Drosophila melanogaster: one gene and its partners. Changing the gene in region 2 together with the main gene of any one other region gives a genetic interaction. Each region holds a gene or a part of one and is shown on either strand. Other genes may lie near its edges.

Region 1 (6,153 bases), 7.5 Mb from region 2:
TGGATAATGCATAAATATTTAGCGGCGCTTTCGGAAGGCAGGCACGTAGTGGCCATGATTGTTATTATCAATTGTTTATACTCGTATGCTTATGTAATTACTAGAGAAAAAATTCTATTGTCGTTTCGGAAATCCGACGCTGAAAAAAGTGTCAAAGCAACACGAACGTTCACTTTTCGCTGTTTTCGCGACAAGCGAAAGTTGAGCACAGAATCCCATTTCGTGTGTTTCACATTGTTATGATAAAACGTGGCCACTTTTGGTGCCCACACAACAAGGCCGTTAGAATTGGAGGCATTTTTTTTTTTGGAAAATGGAGCTCCAAATATCCAAGAAATACGCTGACCTGTAAACCAGTTTTCTGGAAAGAGAACGAACCCCAATGAAATGTTTGATGATTCACAGCGCTCCTCTCTCTATCGCCTTCTATGCCTGCTGTATGTTTGCTGGATTGGGGCATCTTTTCAGATAAGGCTATCGAGAAGTGACTAATCGCTGGCAAACAAACAAATGCGCTGGGAGTTCGAACAGATATGCGTAACATACATATCTCCAATGCGAGATAATCGTGTATTTCTATTTATCCCCCGCATCAATGGAGCCCAGAACTATGGGCTATTAAACGAACTATGACTATCAGTGCGGATTGTTTACCCATTGATAAGACCGTGCAGCTGGACAGAGGGCTCATCTACGGCGTAGAAGCCCCTCTAATGGACGGGAGCAGCGCACACACTTGACCTTCGGGCGGCGATAAAGAAGCCTCTTCGGCGAGTCATTGACACCATCAATCAGCAGCAGCGGCAGCAGCAGCAACAAATGCTGCAAATGCAGCGGCGGCATATGGAAAAGAGGCGCAAAAAAAAGAGGCACAAAAAGGGAGAAAACCTGCCACGGGCCTGGGTTCCTGCTGTGACTAACCTACGACAAGGTAGACACACAGCAACGAAAATCAGCTTACATCGCGCCCTGGCAACAAGAAACCGGAAAATTCGCCAGCCAAAACAAAGGGTTTGGCCTAGGACAGCCAGCCAGCCAGCCATCGAGCCAGTGAGCCAACACAAACACAAACACCTGGAAGGAAGCAAGGCGGCGAAAAAGATCGAATCGCAGCCTGCCAGCAGCCTTTTTCTTGGCCAGAAAAGCCAGCGAATACAAGCAACACGGGTAAGCATCGGATGTCCCCCACAAAGTTCCGCAAAGTCAAAGGGGGCATCGAATATATCATCACTACAAACTGTTGGAATTGTTTTTCTAAGCATTCGGAAGAAAACGAATAAGGAAAGTTGAAATAGTATATATACTATAGGAATGCTAACAATAAATAAGTTCATTCAAGGAAACACAGTGAAAAATGCTAGATTTGCAAAGTATAGTATATAGATTAAATCATATATGCATGTTTATAGCTTTAGAAACCCCCTCCTCACATCATTTTTTAAACTTACTTTGTAATGCTAATCACAACTATATGCAGATTAAATGGGGTCAAAAATATGGTCTTGATAGATTTGAAGTGCAGTTGAGAAATGAAAAAATGTAGAGTAGAATGTACAATATTTCAGTATGTGATGCTTCACAAGGATTTTGTACTGATAGTGGAATATATTTGACTGAATCTTTTCGTTCTAGTAAGAGTATTCGGGCTGCGGTGGCTAATGAGTCGTAATCCTTTCGTGTTGCCTTCTGCGAATGCACCTTTTGAAACTCTTTAGCCAGCTTTTGCGACTGCTGTCTGTTTGGTCGCGATTTAGTAACAAAATCTGTCTGGGGATTGAACCTAGGATGTGGGTTAAGGCAACGACCTGGACGGCGGCAGCTGCATCGCAGCGGATTATGCATGCAGGACCTGCCACGTCCCCCTGTGCACCCCCTTACACCCTTGCGTGCCCCCATTCAGTGTGAAGTCTATGAATAAATGCAGATATTATGATTTGAGGTGGGAATTGATGATTTTGGAACAGCACTCACCTTTAGAATCTGAGTTTTGCGAAAACTCAGCTCGTCGTCAGCCGTCGCAGAGAAATCGTGTTTGGCAATCGCTTCCATTTTGCTGTGTTGTTTTGTGCGCAGTTAGAAAACGCTTTCGGAGTTTGTTTTAAAATTTAGTTGCAATTGTAGTTTTGGATTTAGTTCTATCAGCCTTGATGCACCACACACACGCACACACAGAGGCACAGACACACACGCTCGTTCTCTGCTCTTTCTCTCTAACTCTCTTTGAATTTCTCTCTCACTCACTACTCAGTGCTGTGGAAATGAAAACGAAACGAGACGAATCCGCGATTAGTTAGCGCACATTATATAAACGATAAATCATGGATATTCGGCAGTGCGCTTTTCTCAGTTCGGTTAATAATAATATATCTTGTGCGAAGGCAAGGGAAGAAAGCGATTAAAAATACACCGACGACGACGACATTCCCAGGCGGAGCAGCAACAGAGAATGAACACAGACACGAGCCGCTCTCTCCACGGCGGCCACTGTGTGGGTGTGTGTGCGTGAGCGTGGCAGCGTTGCCAGCAGCTTGCGATTTGGAATTTCGGGGAAAAGCAGGTACCGCAAAAGCAATTAGACGATGTTTGGCTATTACTTGTTGTTATGCGAAGTAATTTGCCTTAAATAATATGAAATGTGTCGCTTAGAACACAATTAACATTTGGCAATCTAGGGCGTGGGTGCTTGCTGTTGGCAATGCTGCCGCGGTGACGTTGTTGTTTGTTTTATTTTTTGTAACCCCAATAAACACACACACACACACACACGCGGCGCTTATATTTCTATATGCGTAAGTTGCGGCTAACTATTTTCGAGTCTCTGGCACGTGCAAAGAGGCCGCCGGGCTTACAATTTCAAAGGGCTAGGGTGGCTGCAAGCTTAAGCGACACTAATTAGGCGCGGGAGCGGTTTGGCTAACATATTACTACTGCTAAATTTGTAATTCACTTTTATTTTCATAGCAGCGTGACCGTGGCCGGGTCGCTTTATTATTCCAAGAAAATATACTGAACACAACACTGTGGGAGAGGCATACCGCAGGGCTTTCGTAGTTTTCCTTCACCTGGTCACACCGCAAGACGCTTCGCCATTTTAAAAATCAAAACAGGAGACGCTTCGCCGGAAAAGTCAGCATTACGTTTCATTCCCAACCGGACACTTCAGTTTGACTCGCCCATCCGTCACAGCAGTCGCCATGCAGCGCCACAAGGAACTGTACAAGGAGCAATCGCTGGTGCTGAGTCCGCGCAATCACTGCCAGGAGAACAGGGATCGGTTGCAGGCGGCGCGCGCCAAAAAACGAGAGGATTGTTTTTATCAGAACCGCATCATCAGCGTGAGCCCGACGCCCGTCAAAATAAAGCAATTGGCGGCGGCCCAAGCTGCTCTGACCCAGGAAAATGTGGCACCCAAACTGGAGAGTCCGGAGCGGCTGGACACGAAGCCCGCAGAACTGCTGAAGGAATCCAACCCGAAGGTCTCCCGCCAGAAGCTCTACTTACAACGCTACATGGAGTGGAAGATAGCCAAGACCAAGGAGCATAAGCAGCAAGACCAGAAACGTCGAGGCGCAGCCATCAATGTGCCGACAGTAAAACAATCAAAGGCCTTGCCCAAATCACAAACATTTCGGGTTCCCGATAATCTGGCTTCTGCAAAGCAGAAGGAGGCGGCTCCCATGTTCCAGCCTCCCAAGCGGTGTTCTCTCTACATGATTGCCAATCCGACGGGCAAGGGAAAAGCCGCAGAACCGATTAAACCTTCAATACCCAAGCCAACGTCAGCAGCAGCTCCTCCGTCATCCAATACCGTGGCTGCATCTTCCGCCTTGGCCAGGCATAAATCAGCTGCTTCTGCAACAAAAATAGTGCCTGCAATTCGTCAGAACAACAATCCAGTGGCCTTGGCCAGGCAAAAAGCAGCTGCACGACCCATTCCCAACACAACGAAGCAAACTACCAGTGTAAGGCAGCCTGGGATTGAAGCGAAAAAGATCACTACCACCATACCCAGACCCACCCCAGCGACAGTCACGAAAGCGAAAACGCCAGGCATACGACAACAGCCACCAGTGGTCAGCACAAAGCCAAGATTACCTGAGCCGCCAGCGCCACGGACAGCTAGACTGCCCAATGTGTTGTCCAAGCCGTTCGAGAAACCTTTAGGAAACAAGGCACCAGTGACACGACGGGCGAATGTCGTGAAACCACAGCCTATACGTGGCGGAGGTGGTGCCGCGGCCAAGTTCAAGGACACAGCTGGAGCGACCAGCAAGGCAGCAAGTCACTCCATACGAATGAAGGCCACCAAGATAAAGAGCCAGTACACGAGGCTTCAGGACAACGTGCGAAAGCTTCCTCAGCTCAAAGCCGAGTTGCTGCACGCAGCCACGCTAGATATACCGCCTCTCACGCCGCTAGACGATATCCATAATCCCTTTATCGACCAGGCCACATCAACGCAGTGCAAGTCGAACAATAGCAGCGGTCATCTTTTGGAGGCGTTTGGCGACACCATCTTGTTGAGCCCGGTGGCACCGGTCAAAGCTGAAGGAGAAAGTTCGGTGAAAAGGCAGTTGCTGCCGGAAGGTAAGAAAGAGGCGTCAGGTCCGGTGGCAAAGAAAAAGTTCGACTTTACGCGTTACTCAGTGGCGAATTCGCCGGCGGAGGACTCGCTCATCTTGGATCCTCAGCAGACGACGGGTGAGTTTGGGATACGCCTTCTCCAATCTTAAACTCAAACTCACATTTTCCTTTCAGTTAAAGAAGACACTGGAGATTCCACTTTGGTGCCAGAGGGTACAAAGACACCGCCACGTCGCGAATCCAATGGAATGCCCAACTATCTCAGTCCGTTTGTTAGTGTCTCGCGGGGAAAGGTGAACTCGCGCTGTGAGAAGGAGAAACGCAATAGCTTCTACCTGTCCAATGAGGAATCGCCCTTGGAAGTTCGCCGTGCCATTGAATCGGTTCTGTACTTCCGACTGCAGCTGGAAAACGAGATCACGCGCCTCCAAGCGCTTTGCGCTGAATGGGAGGCGTACAGCAAGGAGAATGAGGCACGGCTGCAGGAAACGGGCGGCATTGACATGATCAACGTGACCATCGGTCAAACACGTCTGCTGACCACAAAAAAGATGATGCAGTTCAGCGGCCTGATCGATCGTTGCGAGGCTGGAGCGACCGGCAAGAACAGTCAGCCAAACGATGGCAGTGAGGATTCGAAACCGGTGCAGGCTGAGGATCTGGAGGGCTGGTGGGACATGCTGCGCCTGCAGAGCGAGAACGTGGACAAGCGTTTCGATAACCTGAAACGTTGGAAGGCCAACGACTGGCTGGATCCGGATGCCGTGGCCGAGGAACCCAAACAGCCGAAGCCCAAGCCCAAGATAAGTCGCAACATGAAGATCAAATCGAAGGCCAAGCCGAGCAGCAATCTGCAGCAGTTCCTCCGCAAAGCCCATGCCAACATGAAGAAGACCAAGGTGGAGGAGCCAACGCTGGAGGATGGCCTGCCCGCCACGTCCTCGCGCCACAGTTCGCCGCGAGTAATCGTAGTTCGCAACCGCCGATCCTTTTCGCCCGCCCGCACAGTACTCCGCATGTCCACCGGCGAGGGCCGTCAGTCGATTGCGCCAAATGCGCTCCTGAAATCAGCGATTCTTGCGGCCGCCGAGCAGAACGCTGCCAAGACGCCGCCGCCTAAGCCGCGCACCTCCATCCTCAAGACGCCCGGCACCACGAAACGCCAGAACCGTGGCGTGCTCTTCAGCGCCAAGAAGAGCGTACGACGATTCCAGTTCACCTACGAGGAGGGAAACATTAGCAACGACGAGACAGTGGGCGCCGACAAGTTGGAGGACTGCGAGGAGGACATGTCGCTGGAAGCCTCCACGGAAAGCGGATCCCTGGAACAGAATCCGGGAAGGGATTCCAATCAGGAGAATGAAGCAACTCCTCGCACGTACACGCTGCGCAATCGGCGGGTGAATCTGCGTCCCTCCTCCGAGTTTATGTAGTTTTGTCTATTGACAGTAATTGTCCGTTGTGGAATTGTTTATACTTTTATCTTCTTAGTTTAATATTTTTTTGCGGATGCCATTAAGTGTTAATTTATTAAGATGTTGAAAATTACATTTGGCGTTTTAAATGTTC
Region 2 (7,217 bases):
CACTTTTTGGATCCCATTTTTTAACTTCGAAGGTGTAACGGGGAAAAAATCTTCCATTGCGTATATATTGTATGCAGCATGCGATGGAATTGATCGTCAGATCACGCGGTTATTTACTTGACGACCCTTGCGAGATCCGTAGAAAAATTCTGTGCAGTGTCTGAAGCTGTCTTTCAGCTGATCATTTAGTTTTAGTTATTTGTATGCACAGCAAAGATAATATTGTCCATCTCCCCTTTAAGGTTAACTCTCTTTTCTCGAAGGAAAGGCAACAGATTGATGCTGAGCCGACAAAATGAACTCTTGAGACAAAGTGGTCAAGTCATCGATTCAAACCAATGGATGTCATGATGCTGGACATCGTGCAGACAAATCACTTTCGATCTTGCTATCTACAAGTGCGCTTGTTCTGAATTGTAGGTATATTGTCGCAATACTGTCAGAATGCGCAAATGTCAATGTCAACAGAAAAACGCAAAACAAACTGAGGAAAAAGGTACCTTAAGTGATTCAACAACAAGATATCAGAAAGTCGCAGAGTTTTTGCCAGTATTAAGTAAATTAAGACCACCTTTTCTTAGTTGAACTTCAAACAGACATCAAGCATTGGGGTTTACTATATAAACCCATGGCGTACTTCTTTTTCGTATCCACGAAATATGTGTGCACGTATATTCTTAATCATCACCACTATACGAGCCTTTACTCTGTGAACTTTACTCTTTTTTTTATGTTTCATACACTTAAAATTTTTTTTTTTAGATATATACAAAATATATCCTTTTTTAAAGAAAGAAATTTCCATTGTCTTCGATTAAATGCGCAACAGATGTGAGATGCAGATTCTTGTGAAAACCTGCTAAGTAAAAGTTTATTTTAAATCGTACACATCCCTACGCGAATGCCCATGCCGAAAAACTTTAAGGATTCTCATTAATAATCAATTAAATGAACTCTAAACCTTCGTGAATATTACATGCAATCCGTTTGCAATTTGCTAACAAAGTAAGGGATAGCAGACATTCAAGTCACTTAACTAACAAACGATGACTCCAACACTTTAATACTCTTGTTTCTTAAACAATAAACTTCACATTTATGTGTGCTATATATCTGATATCAACAATATCTAAACAATAACTTTAAAATAAAACAGCTGATTTAACGATAAACACCAACAATAACCATAACAGCAACGACGTTGTATAAAACCAGTTGAACCCGTCTTGTTTTCGAAAGGCTATTGAAAGCTCTGATGCATATAGTAATCTATATCTTTTAGCAGTTTTTGTCACGAGTCGGACGTCAAGGACTAATACTGTCGTGTACCAAGAAATTATATTTTTATTCCTGTAGTTGAAGATAAAAAGCGGAAATTAGATTCGTTGAAAAGTATATATAAAATGTATATATATATATATATTCTTGATCGAAACATATCCGGGAACATTTTGCTTTATTGAAACAATTTTAAAACCCTGTACCTTTTACAGTCAACATCTAGCGAATTAGACAGCCGTAGGTGGACTTCAGAGGAATCGGTATATGATATTTTAAAAATATCTTTAAAATGTTTTAAAAACATTAGTAGAAAATCGTTGTGTTTTACAATATTTTACACATTCTTACATACGTTAAGTTGTACAAAAAGACCAAAATTGTTCGAGTGTTTTAAAGATTTGTATAGTTTTTGTTACTAACCGAGTATGAACAAAAAGACTACGGTGCGTTTATCCCTGAATAAAAGCTCAACTCACACCGAACTTGTTGACTGACCTATGGTAACCGATTCGAAGCATGGTCATTACAAAATATCGCTCGATGTGTTTTCGGTTGCTTGTGTGGGAGTTTTTTTTTTTTACGGTAACGCGTGCCAAGAAAACTGAACAAGACGAACATAATAACGGGTATAATGAGCTGCAGAGCGAGTGGAATGGAGTGCGATTGGCGAAGTCTTTGTTGTCGTTGTTTCTGAAAGGTAACAATTGCACTCAAAGGTACTACGACCCAAATTGAACCGGTTTAACGTTTTTTATGTTTGTCTGCTTTTTTGTTATTTCCTTCTAGTGCGCCAATCCACAACTAGTAAACCTCGAAAATCAAACACTAACTCTTTCTGTTGCCATTCGACATGATGGTTTTCAGCCAAATCTGTGAGCGAGTCTACGTTGCGTAGCCAAAAAAAAGTGAATCATTGCAAGAGAGCGATAGGAATTAAGAAGCTGTGTGATGCCGTCTAATTTATAGCTTTTGTGCGTACTTTCTCCGTGACTCCAAAAAAATTTAATGCAAATAACATTGTGATTCGCTTGCTGCGCTCCATTAATGTGGAAATCAAAAGTAAGCTATTTGGCCAGCAAAAACATAGCCATTGACCGACAACCTCAACCAACACAACAAAACTTATGGTAAAAAAAAGTTTGGCTTTGATTTTATGACCGTGATTTAGGTCATTGCACAATGGTGACGAGACTTAGTTCCCTTCCACTCATGGAATTCGAATTTATTCGATATGTCGAACTTTTCATATATATTAATATCCGCGACATTCGTGTACTTAATTTAATAAAAAAATTGTTTTTTTAAGAGAGAAACTAAAAGAAATTGAACGTCCTTCACATTCATCAAATATTTTGTGGCGCCAACACTCTTAAAAAAACAAGAGAAAACACCAAAGCGAGTTCTTTGACTAACAAATACCCGTTACTCAAAAAAGAGAAGTGCAAGGACGACGCAAATATTCCAGTAGGAACGTGACTCCGAGATTGCACATATATGCTTTAAAAACCACATTTATTTTATTCCCTTACTGTATTTATTTATTCTAACTGAAAACAAAGTATCGTCAGCGTATGTATAAGAGGTTTTTGGGAAAGTGCACGGTCCACAGTTAATAGCTTAAGTGGCAGGAGCTGAAGAGAGAACCAATGAACTGAAAGGAGTAATTCGAAGGGATCACAATCAGAGGTTACAGCTCGGAATGCCAACAACAAAGAGCGGACCACGAAGCCAGCTACCATAAACAATGAGCTTTTTTGCCTCTCTTTAGCTCATCTGGAGCTCCACACTCAATACCATGAAAGCAATTTTCATGTGTTTTTCAACTGAATATTTTGTATCTGTATCTTTATCTTTTTTCTGCTACCACTGCTGTTGTTAAGCGACTCCGACTGACAGGCATGACTCATGACGCAGGAAATTTACGACCACGGCACAGTGCAGCAAGAGAAGGCTGAAAAGCGATATAAAAGAAGGCCCTAAACTCCGCTAATTCCAAGCCTGAGAGCCAACTTAAATCTTAGCCTAAACGCAAAGAATATGTGCGAAATGGCGCAGTTTGCCCAAGTCACGTAAGTCGAAATTGATATGATTTCTGAGGCCTGGTATGGTGTCTGAAAAAAAAAAACGCCGTGGAAGTGCACAGCAGTGTATAAGAAAGTTCATGTGCACGGAACTGAGCGCTTTAGCACTTACAAAAATGTATCACCCGTTTGGCAAGCCAGTTGTGCATTTTAGCACATAGTAAACGATAAAGTTCGCAACAACTTGAGGACGACTTTGTGGGCTGTCAGGCATTGCATAACCAGATTCGCAGGAATTCTCTTACGAAATAAGCTCGACTTTGTATTCCGCACGGAATACACCGTTCTAATTCCAGCGGCATGCGCCGAGGCAAAGAAAATATGTTTGCATGACCAGCGAAACACACGCGAAACAGTAAAGAAAATAGAAAGTTCTGTTCCCATCTTTTTCTGAGTTCGGATCCACCAGAGGAATGTTCCGCACACTGCAGCTTCCCTGGGCTTGTACCTTTTCCAGTTTTGCTGCTACTGCTGCTCTTGTTACCACTTATCCATATCAAAGTGGGGTTTTACTTGAGGCACTTTTGAACAAAGAAAACACTGACTGTTAGAAGTATGCCAACAACACAAACAGGTCGCGCATGCGCCGCACAGTGCATCTAGTGGCTCTGTGGTGGCTTGTGGATAATAGATTATATAGATTTCATCGGCCCGTGAACGAAAAAACTTGTAAGCGCGGTAGGCGAGCTTTGGCCAAATTCGATTAAGGCATTTAACTCAGATTCGGATTCGATTTCCTATGTGCTGCGTGTACGGGCGCTATTCCGATTTCCGAGCCGTTTTCGTGCGGCTTCCGTTTACACGTCCGTTTTGTGCACCGCTTCGCAGACAACTGATACGTTTATGAAATTTTTATAGAAAGGTTTTAACCGCTTGCCACCGCACCGACACACTCGCACCCGCCGCCTTGGCATCTATGTGTGTGCCATTTGAGCCAAGCTCGCTGCCCGCGTGTTGGCCAACCGTTCCCGCTCTCTCGCTCTTCGATCCATCTTTGTGTGCTTAGTCTCTTTTATCTTGGCCCAGAAGTCCAATGGCTCGTCGAAGAGTGGTCTCGCTCTTCGTCTCCAAGTGCCTCTCTCTTAAGATGCTCCGAGATAAACTGCACAGTTTTGTAATTACGACAACAATTAGTCACAAAGTGCGTTGATTGCAAAGATCAAATCGAGTTGAAAACAATTAACTCGTCGCTGTTACTGACAAAATGTCAGGTTGTATTAATTTGTTCACGTAACCAAAATAACTCAGCACTGTCGCGTCACTGGAAATCAAATTATTTGTTTCTAAATGTCTCCGCTTGGGTTCTTGTGAACGCCATTGAACTCGTCATTGATAAGGTATGCTATGGAACATTGCTGAAATAGAAAATATTAGAGTCTACATCGTGGGAATACTAATGGCTAGTATCCAATCCAGAAGGGACTCGCAGTGGGGACTCGCGCCTGGACATACCATTTAATATTAAGAATATATTAACGAATACCTGGGGATATTTTGCGAAAAGTCGGAGGGCAAAATCTATAAACATAGTCGTTAGTCACTTTGATTTAACACTTGACCAAATATGAGTGTTCCTGAGCTCCCTTATGTAAATAGAAATTCATGTGCACATATAAACACATGTGTTTACGTCGATGGCTCAGATTCTCCGTTTCCCTGACCACAAAACCCTTAAATACTGAAATATTGGGACTTACCTGGAAATAAAAAGTAAACAGAAAGTGTTAAATGTTAACTTTAACGGGTTGTGTAATGCAAAATAAATAAATAAAAGGACACTTTTATAAAAACGTTAGGCAGTATGGCCAATATCACTGAAGTATACGGTTATCTAACTTAGCAGTATATTCTTTTTTCATTTTAAATTAACTTTTACAATATTACAGCACAAAGTCACAGCTTACAGGTCGTATAACTGAAATCAAATCTAGCCACACACCAAACTGTATCGACAAAATGCGATTTCGTCTCCTTCTACTGTCCTAATCTGATTGAAATGTGTGTATTTACCTCTACGTAAATTACGAGTCAATTAATGCCCAGCCAGACTAGGTGAATATTTGCTTCCTGTGCAATTTTACGCTAATTCAAATTCCTATAACATCAACACGTTCACCGTTAGTATATGTAGTCTTTATCGGACGTATCAGCTAAAAATTAACACTATATCACTGAGTCAATTAAAATGTAGTCGTTCGACCTTCCTGGAGAGCGACGACCGAGTCTGTTGTCACTTATGTTTTTTTTTAGCTACTGACAAATTATTAAAACAATTGCCTTCTATTGAGTATTATTGACTTGCCACAAACTCGAATGATTTGTCTACACACACACACACTTCACCTGAGCCGAAAGAAGAACGCTCAACTAAATCGGAACTTCACCACGCATGAACACAGGGAAATATGAATAAATGCCGACACGGCTCTTGCATGTGGCTCTCTAAAACAATTGCCTTCTCTTCGTGGGTTCAACGACATTTTCTGATGTCATGTTCAATAACAATTGCAGCCTATAGTGGCAACGGGAGTAAAATAAAGGATGGCTTGAATTATTAATGAATAATGAATACGGAGGTTCAAAAAATACTAAATTCGCTGCATATGAGCTGAAATTATAATTATTTGGAAAATCGGACCCATTTATTTGCAAACTGTGGTATCATAACTTTTCTTTAATTGTTAAAATATTTATTTGAGTCTTCTCAAATCGCTCTCAACAATCATATTATTGAACATTTTAATTAACCGAAACTCAATATGCGTATACAGAATAATGCTCCTCTGACATTGGAACTAGCCAAAAACGAAAAACTCATAAATCGATCATTTTCACTGTGGCAATTTGACGCTAACAACAAACAAGAGAGCAGCAGAGCGGATCTGCGTTGAGCTTCATAGCGTCAGGTGCGGTCTTCCGTGTCGGAAGACGAGGCAAATTAAATGCAAAAAAAAACGCACGAGAATCCAAACGTCATATGACAGATACTGCTTTTTAAAGCAACAAGTGACTCAAAATCAAAGTTGTTCCATTATAAATTTTAAATTCGAGTTAGGCTTGAGTTCAATTGCTACGCCTGGCGATTGCTTAATGCTCAAAGCAAAAAAAAAAATATATTTGTGTATTTAAGTGAGTTTGCTGATTTTGATGTGCTTCTCTTTGCGAGTGATTTACGATCTGAACTGGGAACGAATAAAAATTGGTTTTATGGATTTCGGTGTTTGTGGGTGGCTCTAATTTAGACGTTTTTATTATTGGCGACGTTTAAAGCTACGTAATAGTCAATTTAAGATGTTCGGTTCAACCATTTAGCACTTTGTCAAATAGCTCGACTCGCTCGGACTTTCCCATTGACGGAAGTCAAGTTAAGCAAGAAGAGCGCATAAGCAAGAAGTTAATTCACCGAGTGTCCAGGTATTTCCCCTGAAAAATTCACTTGAATTAAATCAAGAGCTGGCCTCGTCGTCTCTGCCGTATTCTGTGTAAACGCTTTAAAATCATCGGTGATCATTGACGTCACTGCGTTTTAACCACCATAAAGACACAATCCCCTGCACCTTCCTGCTCACTCTTTCAACTTATTTCTCTTTGACCCACATTCAAAGCTGAACAGAAATACTCTCGAGAAGATTGGTTAGCGCCTTCCGATGGAAAAACTGTGGGGCTTTAACATTCGTGTGGCAATCGGGGAGATTTCATTAGTACAGAAAATCATAAATATTCATTTACGCATGGGAAAGTTTTTTTCACTGGCGTGATAACACGGAAACTAATATTTTTCAAAACTTGTATAAATTATGGTTTAATCGGATTTAAAAAACAAAAACAAATCGAGAATTAAAGATTTCTTTCATA
Region 3 (8,192 bases), on a different chromosome or scaffold from region 2:
CATTTGAAATGGTCGCGTGTAGTCGGTAGTTTGTGGCAACCTCGCTTTTTTTTTGCCGGCCTTTGTGGCGGCTTGATAGCATATCTTGTTGCGCATTTGTCCATGTACCATGGTCAATGTTCTTGCCCCGGCCAGTGTCACCCTGACGTCAGCGTCCTCCTGGGGCCCCCTTCCACACACCCACTCCTCCAAGGCCAAACAAATGGGCGTCCAATGTCGCGTGACGCACAAGGATATCGGGTCCTGTGATTGCCGTCGTTGTTTCGCCTTAGATGAGTTTTCCTATAGCTCGTCTAGCTTTCGCTGTTTGCCGCCCTGTCACGTGTTTGCCCAGCCAATTAGAGTTATAGGCCGATTAAGCAGGAGCAAGAGGAGAAAGTCGCTGAGCTTTCGCAGCTTTCATTTAGCAGGCGCACAAACCGTTCTGATAAAAATATCTGTTGCGATGAAAAAATTACAGGAGCGGCTCGCTTCAGATTGTGGGCAGAAAAAAGGTTCTTGTGATTATATTAATTTGTATCGATTTATTATTTATTTTATCAACTTCAATAAGTTCTTGGTTCGTCAGTGATTCAAAATGTTGGACAGTTCTTAGCTGAATTCACGTACTGGGAGCGTTGACTAGAAGTGCCACATTGTACACTCGTGGGCTAAAACCGGGTGATCTTGTTGTGATCGGGCGAGGGCGGCAGCGAGGACACCGAGGATCGGGAGGGACTCTGCTGGGGTCGAGGTGGAGGACGTTGTGGATTAATGTTGGCATTGGCCTGGCGGAGATTGGCAAAGAACTGCTGGCGACGTGGGCCACCTCCTCGAAGGGGTAACGTGGGAATCTCACTAGGCGACTGGTGGTTCACCTCATCCTGGGAACAATGGCGCATGGCGGGATTCACGCACTCGTAAACACTCTGTAAGAATAGATTTTAAAGTTAATCAGAAAAGTTTCTTGCTAATTTTCTAGGAACCCACCTGTTCCGAGGAGTATTGATTGTTCTGGGCAAAAGCCAGCGAAGTGAGTGAAGGCAGAGCTTGGGCAATATCCGACCGCTCGATACCCCTTACGATGAGGAAGGTGCGTGGTATCAGAATGCCCACCAGTACCGCCCAACCAGAGGCCTGCAATCCCAATGGAATGGCCGCATCCCTCCACTCGTCCCCGAATAAGGATAGCGCTATCCAGGCCACCCAAATTACCATAATTAAAACCGATCCAATGACAATGAGTATTCCCTCGCGATAGTTTCGTTGGGATCTGTATATAGAGGGTATCAAGGCGCCCACACAGCACAGTAGAGCAAAGTCGTAGGCCAACAGTCCCCACAACCATCGACCATAGTAAATATTCTCACAGGACACAGTCTCCGAGGCGACGTGCATCACCACCAGAAGTTGCACGGACATGCCCACTTGGGCCACAACACTAAAGGCGCAAATCACTGCCTGAATATATCCATTCACATGGGATAGGAAGCCACCTTCGGAACCAATTGAAGCCAACATCACGGCGCGACAGAGGAGCAGGGAAAAAACAAAACAGTAGACCAGAGTCATGATGAACACCCTCACCGCGCACAGGGTATTCAGAGTCTGGGCATCCTCGAAGGTCACATGCGAATTGCGCTGCTCACCCACGTATTCAATCGAATAGGGCACAAAGGAGCAAAACACTAAGATGAGGGAGAGTAGAAGGAGAATCGAGGTGGTCGGATTTCCCTCGAAGACATCGCCCAACGAGATGCGCACCACAATGAACACCAGGATGGCGAGCGTGGCAATCAGGCCCAGGATAGCAGCCGTCAGCCCAGTTGCCACCCATGTGTCCATCTTGATGCGCCAGAACATAACGGATTCACCATCGAAAAGGAATGGATATCTCCTATTGTCACCAGCACTGTACTGGCAGTTGAACACCTGACCAAACTTGGTCTTCAGCTCCAAACTGGTGTGATTGTCCCGATTATAGTGATAGTACGTGGTCACATTGGTCACAAAGTTCTGCGACGCAATCTCGCGCAGTTCGGTACGCGATTCACCTGTGATCTTGTCCAGCGTCAACACTTTCTTCTGGTACATCTGAAAGTTCATGGCGGTGCCCAACTTGCGCATCAGCAGCAGCGACAGGATCTCAGCCGTATCATGGGCTTGTCGGTACTCCGAGGTTCGCCAGTCCTCGATGAAGTTCAGGAAGTTGAAACAGCTCTCCAGCACATACAAGTCGTGCTCCTCACCACGCTTACAGTGCTTGGACAGGGATCCGCGCAGCCAGTTCATCAGGTCGATTATGGAGCCGGCAAAGCTCAGGACTCGCGATGGTAACACACTCTTCCCGATCAGGATCTCGTCCAAAGCGGTGGGCGTGGCGTCCAATTCAACGGCGGTGCTCAGGTCAATTTCGTTTTCCATTAGGACAAAAGCTCTGTTTGGTAAGTCTAAAAAGAAAAGAAGAAATTAATGCGTAAGTAAAATGTATCAGTCTTAATCCTTAACTTAAACAATAAATCAAAAGGACCCACAACTTTAGTAATCCTGTTCGTTGTAGTTATTACCCACCTGCCAGAAATTCATCGTCCGTTCTATCGGTGGGCACGGAAAACAGAGTGCCGTTTTCCTTGAAGTGACTAGCTAGCTTATTGCCAAACATTATGTAAACATTATCGTCACTTTTGAAGTGCATGAGGCACATGTGCTCCTGGCGAGCGGCTTCCATGAATTCATTGTACATCTCCAGCGTTTCGGTTGCTATTTCCACGGATGCGATTTTTTCGCCCCAAGGCATTTGATGCAGCAAGTGCGCAACTTTGGGAAAGAGGTGCGCCCGCGTTCCCGGTATTGGCCAGATATTGTATTCCAAGTCCTTGATAACAGACTCCAGTTGTTTGTACAGCTCCCAGTCAACGAATATGCCCATCGAGTACGTCGTGCACTGCTGCAGAAACTGAACTTCTTGAATAAGCAAGTTCTCTGCCAAGCTGGCGTTGTCGATGCTGATGGCGCGAATTCCTGGAATTCAATAAGAAGGATTTGATTTAGGTGCATATAAATAGCGGAATTTTACAAACCAATTTCAAAGTCTGCCATTATAAGATTCGCCTGGTTCACACGATTGATTACGAACAACGCGGAGTCGGGGTCCTTGGTCAAGACACTGAGCACCACATCTCCTTCGAGTATCTTGACAAACTCCTCCTGCTTCCGTATAACCGTTCCCTCATCCGCACTATTGACCGTCAACTGCAGACCATTGAGACATATTTCCGGCACTAAGCTGGCAGTTGTTCCACTGCTGGGTCCCTCGGTTGTGGATGAGATGAGCGGGGCCAGCTGACCATCGACGGAGCTGGAGACTTCATCATCGGTGGTTGATGCCACCGTTGTTGGGGCCCTTGTGGTAATACTGATGGGCTTGGCCTGCTGACTTGTGGGCTGTGGTTTGGTTATTCGAAGGGGAGCGGACTTCTTGGTGGGTGATGTCAGGTCAGCTCCATGGCACTCCAAGACGCAGAACACAGTGACTAGGATGCATAGAAGAGCTGCAGAGGACAACAATGAATTAAATCTTATTCGTATAAGATGGAAAATATCGTCGTCCTTAAATTTAAAGTAACTTTGTTCTGGTTAGCATGGTTGATTGACTAGTTAATTGATTGAATTACTCAATAAAGGAATTCACTTAAACCATATTTGCAATGGAATTTTCTACACAAACTCAAGCTTGAATGGCATTTTGAGAAAAATACAGGTCTTGAAATATTCCCGGAAAAAGAAATCCCCTCAAGTTGCCATTCATTCCATTGCACTTCACTTCTGCCTTACGACATTTACTCAGCACTCACCCACTGGTAATGGCTTTCTCCGTCCAGATTGCAAAGCGTCCATGACCTTCATTTCTAAAGTTTTAAAGGTTTTACAATTAAATACAAAAAATGTCCGTTGATAATTAAGCAATGCAGCAGTCTTTCCTTCAACATGTACTGATAATTGATATCATTTTATTTTTATTTTGATAGCTAGAAGGAAGAAAGAAAATGGTAAGTTGGATATTAGCCAGTGTGCAGAATTGTATTTTTTATTTTTTGCCGGCCACTTCAACCATTTTGCCGACTGCGTGGAGAGTGCTGCACTTTAATCGCATTAAAAATTGTCACACTAACACAGACTTTGTTGGCTTGGCATAGTTTCCACTTTTCCATGTCTGTTTCTTCGTGATTTTGCCCACTATCAGTGCAAAGTAATACGGTGGAAAAAATTTCTGTTTCGCATATTCTCTCACTTCGGGAAAATCAATAGAGGTTTTTTGTGGAAGCCGAATTCTGGAATTTATGGCACTGCACACACTTATTGCACAGATTCACGCACTAGACCCACTGACAGTCAGAGCCACAATAGTTTTGGGCAACAGCAATTGGCAAAAAAAAAAAACAAAGAAAAAACAACAAGGGAACACAAATTGAACGCCTCAGTGATTTTAGGGTCAATTAAACGTTTCTCGTTTTATATTTGTCCAGTGATGTACGCAGCACTCAAACCGTACATATATATTTATTGTTGGCCCACGAACAACCAATTTGATTTGGTAAGCCCCTGTGTTAACGGGTGCAGCATTGCAGTTGCCCGCACAATGCAATTATGTTCTATTCGATTTTTTTTTTGTCTCTATTTCAGTTTATTTTATTTTAGTTTTTCCGTTTTCGAACCCACCCCCTGGAAAACCGAAGGCGGAACACTGATGTGGCAATGTTTTGCACCTGTTTTGGCCGTTTTGTTTTGACTAACTTGGCTGAGGCCCGGCACTCGCTGGTTGTTATGGTTATTGGCTCAAACAGTCACTCACGAAATTGAGTGCTTTCCACGTCGAGTGTACAATTTCCCATAATTATACAAATAAATATGTACACCCCGAAGCCAGTTCAAATATTGGTCATTGCAATTAGCCAACTTGCTGGGCAAAAGGGTTTCGGGTTTCAGGGTGGAATAGGGTGGCCTGTCAAAGGTGCCGATCAGTAATTGCAATTTGGCCAGTCTTACAGTTCGGCACTTGTGGATAGCTTGCACAATGTTTGCTATCCTCGTTGGTTTATCAAAATGTTTTATTTTATTTTATGGCTATCCAATGCAAACTGTTCAGTGGAATATCCTTGAAAACAGAACCGACACTCGTGCCTTGGGCTTTGACATTCGTATGGCACTTTTCCGGGTTTTGGGGCTTTGCATAACACTTTTAATTCACGTCAAACGCAACATCAGTTGAAAAGTAAGCATTTTCATTTGGCCACGTTGCATAAGTTTAATTTAGAGCTCAATTCCTTTAGGGGGTTTAACTTTAATTGCCCAAAAAGCAACTATATGGCCTTATTAAGCTGTTTGGCTTTTTATTTAAATACTCATTTTACTTTGAATAGACGCACCAATATCTTACCGACGGACCACGTCCACGTTTAAACTGTTTTGGCCAACTGAACTAGCGGAAGAACTTGCAGAGCCGCGACACTCGTAAGCCCATAAAAATGCAGCTGCAGGTTAGGGCTAGTGGGGGTGGTCTTAGGCCTTATTTTCCACTCGACTCAGTTTTACCCGGTTGCCGGATGGGGGTGATGCCTTGTTTTGGCCAGCTCAGTTGATTCTTGCTTTGCAGTCAATATAATATGCACTTATTAGTGACACCAATGGGCATTACTCAGCGAGAATCGGGATTGCCAAGGGCCAAATAGGTCAGTTTTATGCTCAATGTAAGCTGTTCACATAACATAAATAAGAATATGAAAGCCAGTTTTAAATTTTGAACATAGTTTAATTGTGATCCTAAAAATGAATTAAATGAATACATGTACGCCAGGTACGATAAGTTATAGTTAATTTGTCGAAACATTTGATCCAATTTTTTTTGGCTTTACATTATCAGAAATAATTTAGGTCATGCCAAAAGTAATATTTAAATAAGTATTAAGGCGATTTCTAGGAATGGGTTCCCCTTCAGTTTGAATGCTCCTTTATCTTCACTCCAGTGGCTTTACTGACCATCTCCGGCGCCTTGGTTGGCTCCCCTTCGATTTAATTTGCGGTTGGGCCGGCTCGTAGTTGCTCCACTTGGATACTTGAGGCCACAGTCATCGTCCTCGCTGCCGGTCGAGATGTCCGAGGAGAGCTGGAAGTCATCCACTTCGGTGTAGGTCTCATCCGTACTATCGTTGGGCGTTTCGATCTCCGTGTCGTCAACCTTTTTATTTTTCTGACTACCTGCGAGGGTCCTAGAGCTCATGGCTGCTGGCTGACAAAGTCCACCGTTTGAATTTTTCTTGGGTATCAAGATGTCCTCGAGACTGGGCAGTTCAGCCGACATCTGACCATTCATATCCTTCACCTGATTGCAGTAGCGCTGGATATTATCCAGGACTTCTTGCACGCCCACATCAGATGATTTTACAACTAAACTTTGCTCCGATGACGACTTTTGTGCAGCAAGAACTGGCTGCTGAGCTTTGCAGATGCTACGATAGGCACTGGAGTTCATTAGGGACTCGTTATGGTCTTTTTTGGCGCTAATAGGCATTTTGCTTTGATTCCTAATCACTTTTCCTGGTTGTTGTTTTAAACTATGCGACGGTTTCTGTGTCAGATTCTGACTGACTGAGGCCGCTGCTTCTAAGTTCGCCTTCGAAAGACTCAGCATTTCCTGAGTGGGCTTTCCATTCATCAGCGATTGATGCTGGTAAAACATTTTATCGTACTCGGATTTCATGCACAAGTACCGAAAGTGTCGCGAATTTTCCTCACCGAAGTAAATTACCTCTGCAGATGCCAAAAAATAGTTACATATTATAAATACCAAATAAACACTGAAAGTAAATAAACTCACTGCTAATGACTTGTTCCTGCAGCTTATCCAGGTTATCGTTTGTCTGCTTCAACTCGCCCGAGAACCTTTCGATTTTGTGGCTCAGATCGCGAAAGTTCTTTGCCAGAGCATCGGATATGGTGTTCTAAAGAAAGTGCATAGTGTATTAACTAATCAACTAAGGAACTTATGCGAAACTCACGCCAACGGCCGTTTTGACAGTCTGGCGGATCAGGTCAAAGAACTCCTCAGGATCTTCCTCCTTATCTTCATCGTCATCGGCGGTACTCACGTGCACCTTGCTCGCCGGAACAGGCTGTCGCCCACGCATCTGCTTCTGATGCGGATGCGGATGCTGATGCTGATGCTGATGCGGTTGCGAATGCTGGAGGCGCTGCTGTTGCTGATGCTTGAGGTGGTTGTGAGTAGTCATCTGCTGCTGCTGGTGCAGCTGGTGTTGCGGCGGATGCTGCATTGCTCCGGATTGCAACTGCATTTGCATTTGATGGGCATGAGAGTGCGGATTGTGCCGGCGCATATTTCCCATGTTTCCCTGCTGGGGCACCATTAGTTCCTTATCGGAGTAGTCGTCGTTGTCATCCATTGGATAGTCGTTCCTCTGGGTATTGCCCTTTTCGCGGTGCTTCATTCGGTATGTCTCCTTCGACTTGGACATGCCATAGCCATTAGGGTTTACCGTGCCTTCGGCCGGGCTAAAATGCGGCACCTTGTTCATCGGCGCCTGACGAGCACTGGCCTTATTGGCCATTTGGTTTCGCCTCGAGGGCATGGCGTTATATGGAGATGGCTGGACATGGCCGGGAATCATTTGCGATATTGATGGCTGCGCCATCGAACCGGGGGCATTTCGCAGATTGGCCGCCGTCAACGGCAGATTGGTGGTGATGTAGTAATCATTTTCGGTGACAAAACTGCGCTGAGTGCGAGCATCGACTTGTCGGGAGCTAATGGTTCCTCCACCGCCAGTTGCACCGCCTGGACCCGATCTCTCAGCCCTTGCTGTTTTCTTGGTCACACCTGCATGGGATATCGCTACCGACTTTACCGGATGCAAGGAATCCATTTTGGAACCATAGACCTCCTCGATTCCCTTGCGACGAATTGGGCGCACCATCTTCATCCAAAGGCTCTTTACTCACCGAAACAAACTTTCGTTGGCCTCGAGTTGCACCAATAAACGCAAAAGCACAATAATGTATAAACTGTATTTGATATATTTTACATCTATTTATGTTCTTTGGATGATTTAGCTAAAATGAATGAGGGATATAGAAAGATAGTGAATGTTATAACACCAGCCTACTGGATAGATAGATTGGATAAATATTACTCGTGTGAA

The links. Genes that interact genetically often act in the same process or in processes that back each other up.
Region 1: of Src42A (region 2) and drk, changing one suppresses a phenotype caused by changing the other (phenotypic suppression), as found in Drosophila melanogaster (2 studies listed by BioGRID).
Region 3: of Src42A (region 2) and boss, changing one suppresses a phenotype caused by changing the other (phenotypic suppression), as found in Drosophila melanogaster (one study listed by BioGRID).

What each region holds. Positions count from the first base shown.
Region 1 is NT_033778.4:13,499,842-13,505,994, forward strand, and holds the start of drk (downstream of receptor kinase), read right to left. Parts: upstream 3,001-6,153; 5' UTR 2,850-3,000; exon of another isoform or gene 2,084-2,849; 5' UTR 2,050-2,083; coding exon 1,972-2,049; exon of another isoform or gene 1,633-1,971; intron 1,168-1,632; exon of another isoform or gene 780-1,167; intron 1-779. Other genes in the region: mars, read left to right, coding at 3,195-4,701, 4,759-6,017.
Region 2 is NT_033778.4:5,989,971-5,997,187, reverse strand, and holds the start of Src42A (Src oncogene at 42A), read right to left. Parts: upstream 4,197-7,217; 5' UTR 3,811-4,196; intron 1-3,810. UniProt on the Drosophila melanogaster protein: Required directly or indirectly for the phosphorylation of drpr which is necessary for the interaction of drpr with shark and subsequent glial phagocytic activity.
Region 3 is NT_033777.3:25,959,257-25,967,448, reverse strand, and holds boss (bride of sevenless), read right to left. Parts: upstream 5,456-8,192; 5' UTR 5,406-5,455; intron 4,008-5,405; 5' UTR 3,886-4,007; coding exon 3,834-3,885; intron 3,531-3,833; coding exon 3,060-3,530; intron 3,001-3,059; coding exon 2,551-3,000; intron 2,430-2,550; coding exon 970-2,429; intron 909-969; coding exon 651-908; 3' UTR 501-650; downstream 1-500. Other genes in the region: CG14540 (uncharacterized protein), read right to left, coding at 6,008-6,786, 6,854-6,977, 7,035-7,973. UniProt on the Drosophila melanogaster protein: Acts as a ligand for sevenless tyrosine-kinase receptor during eye development.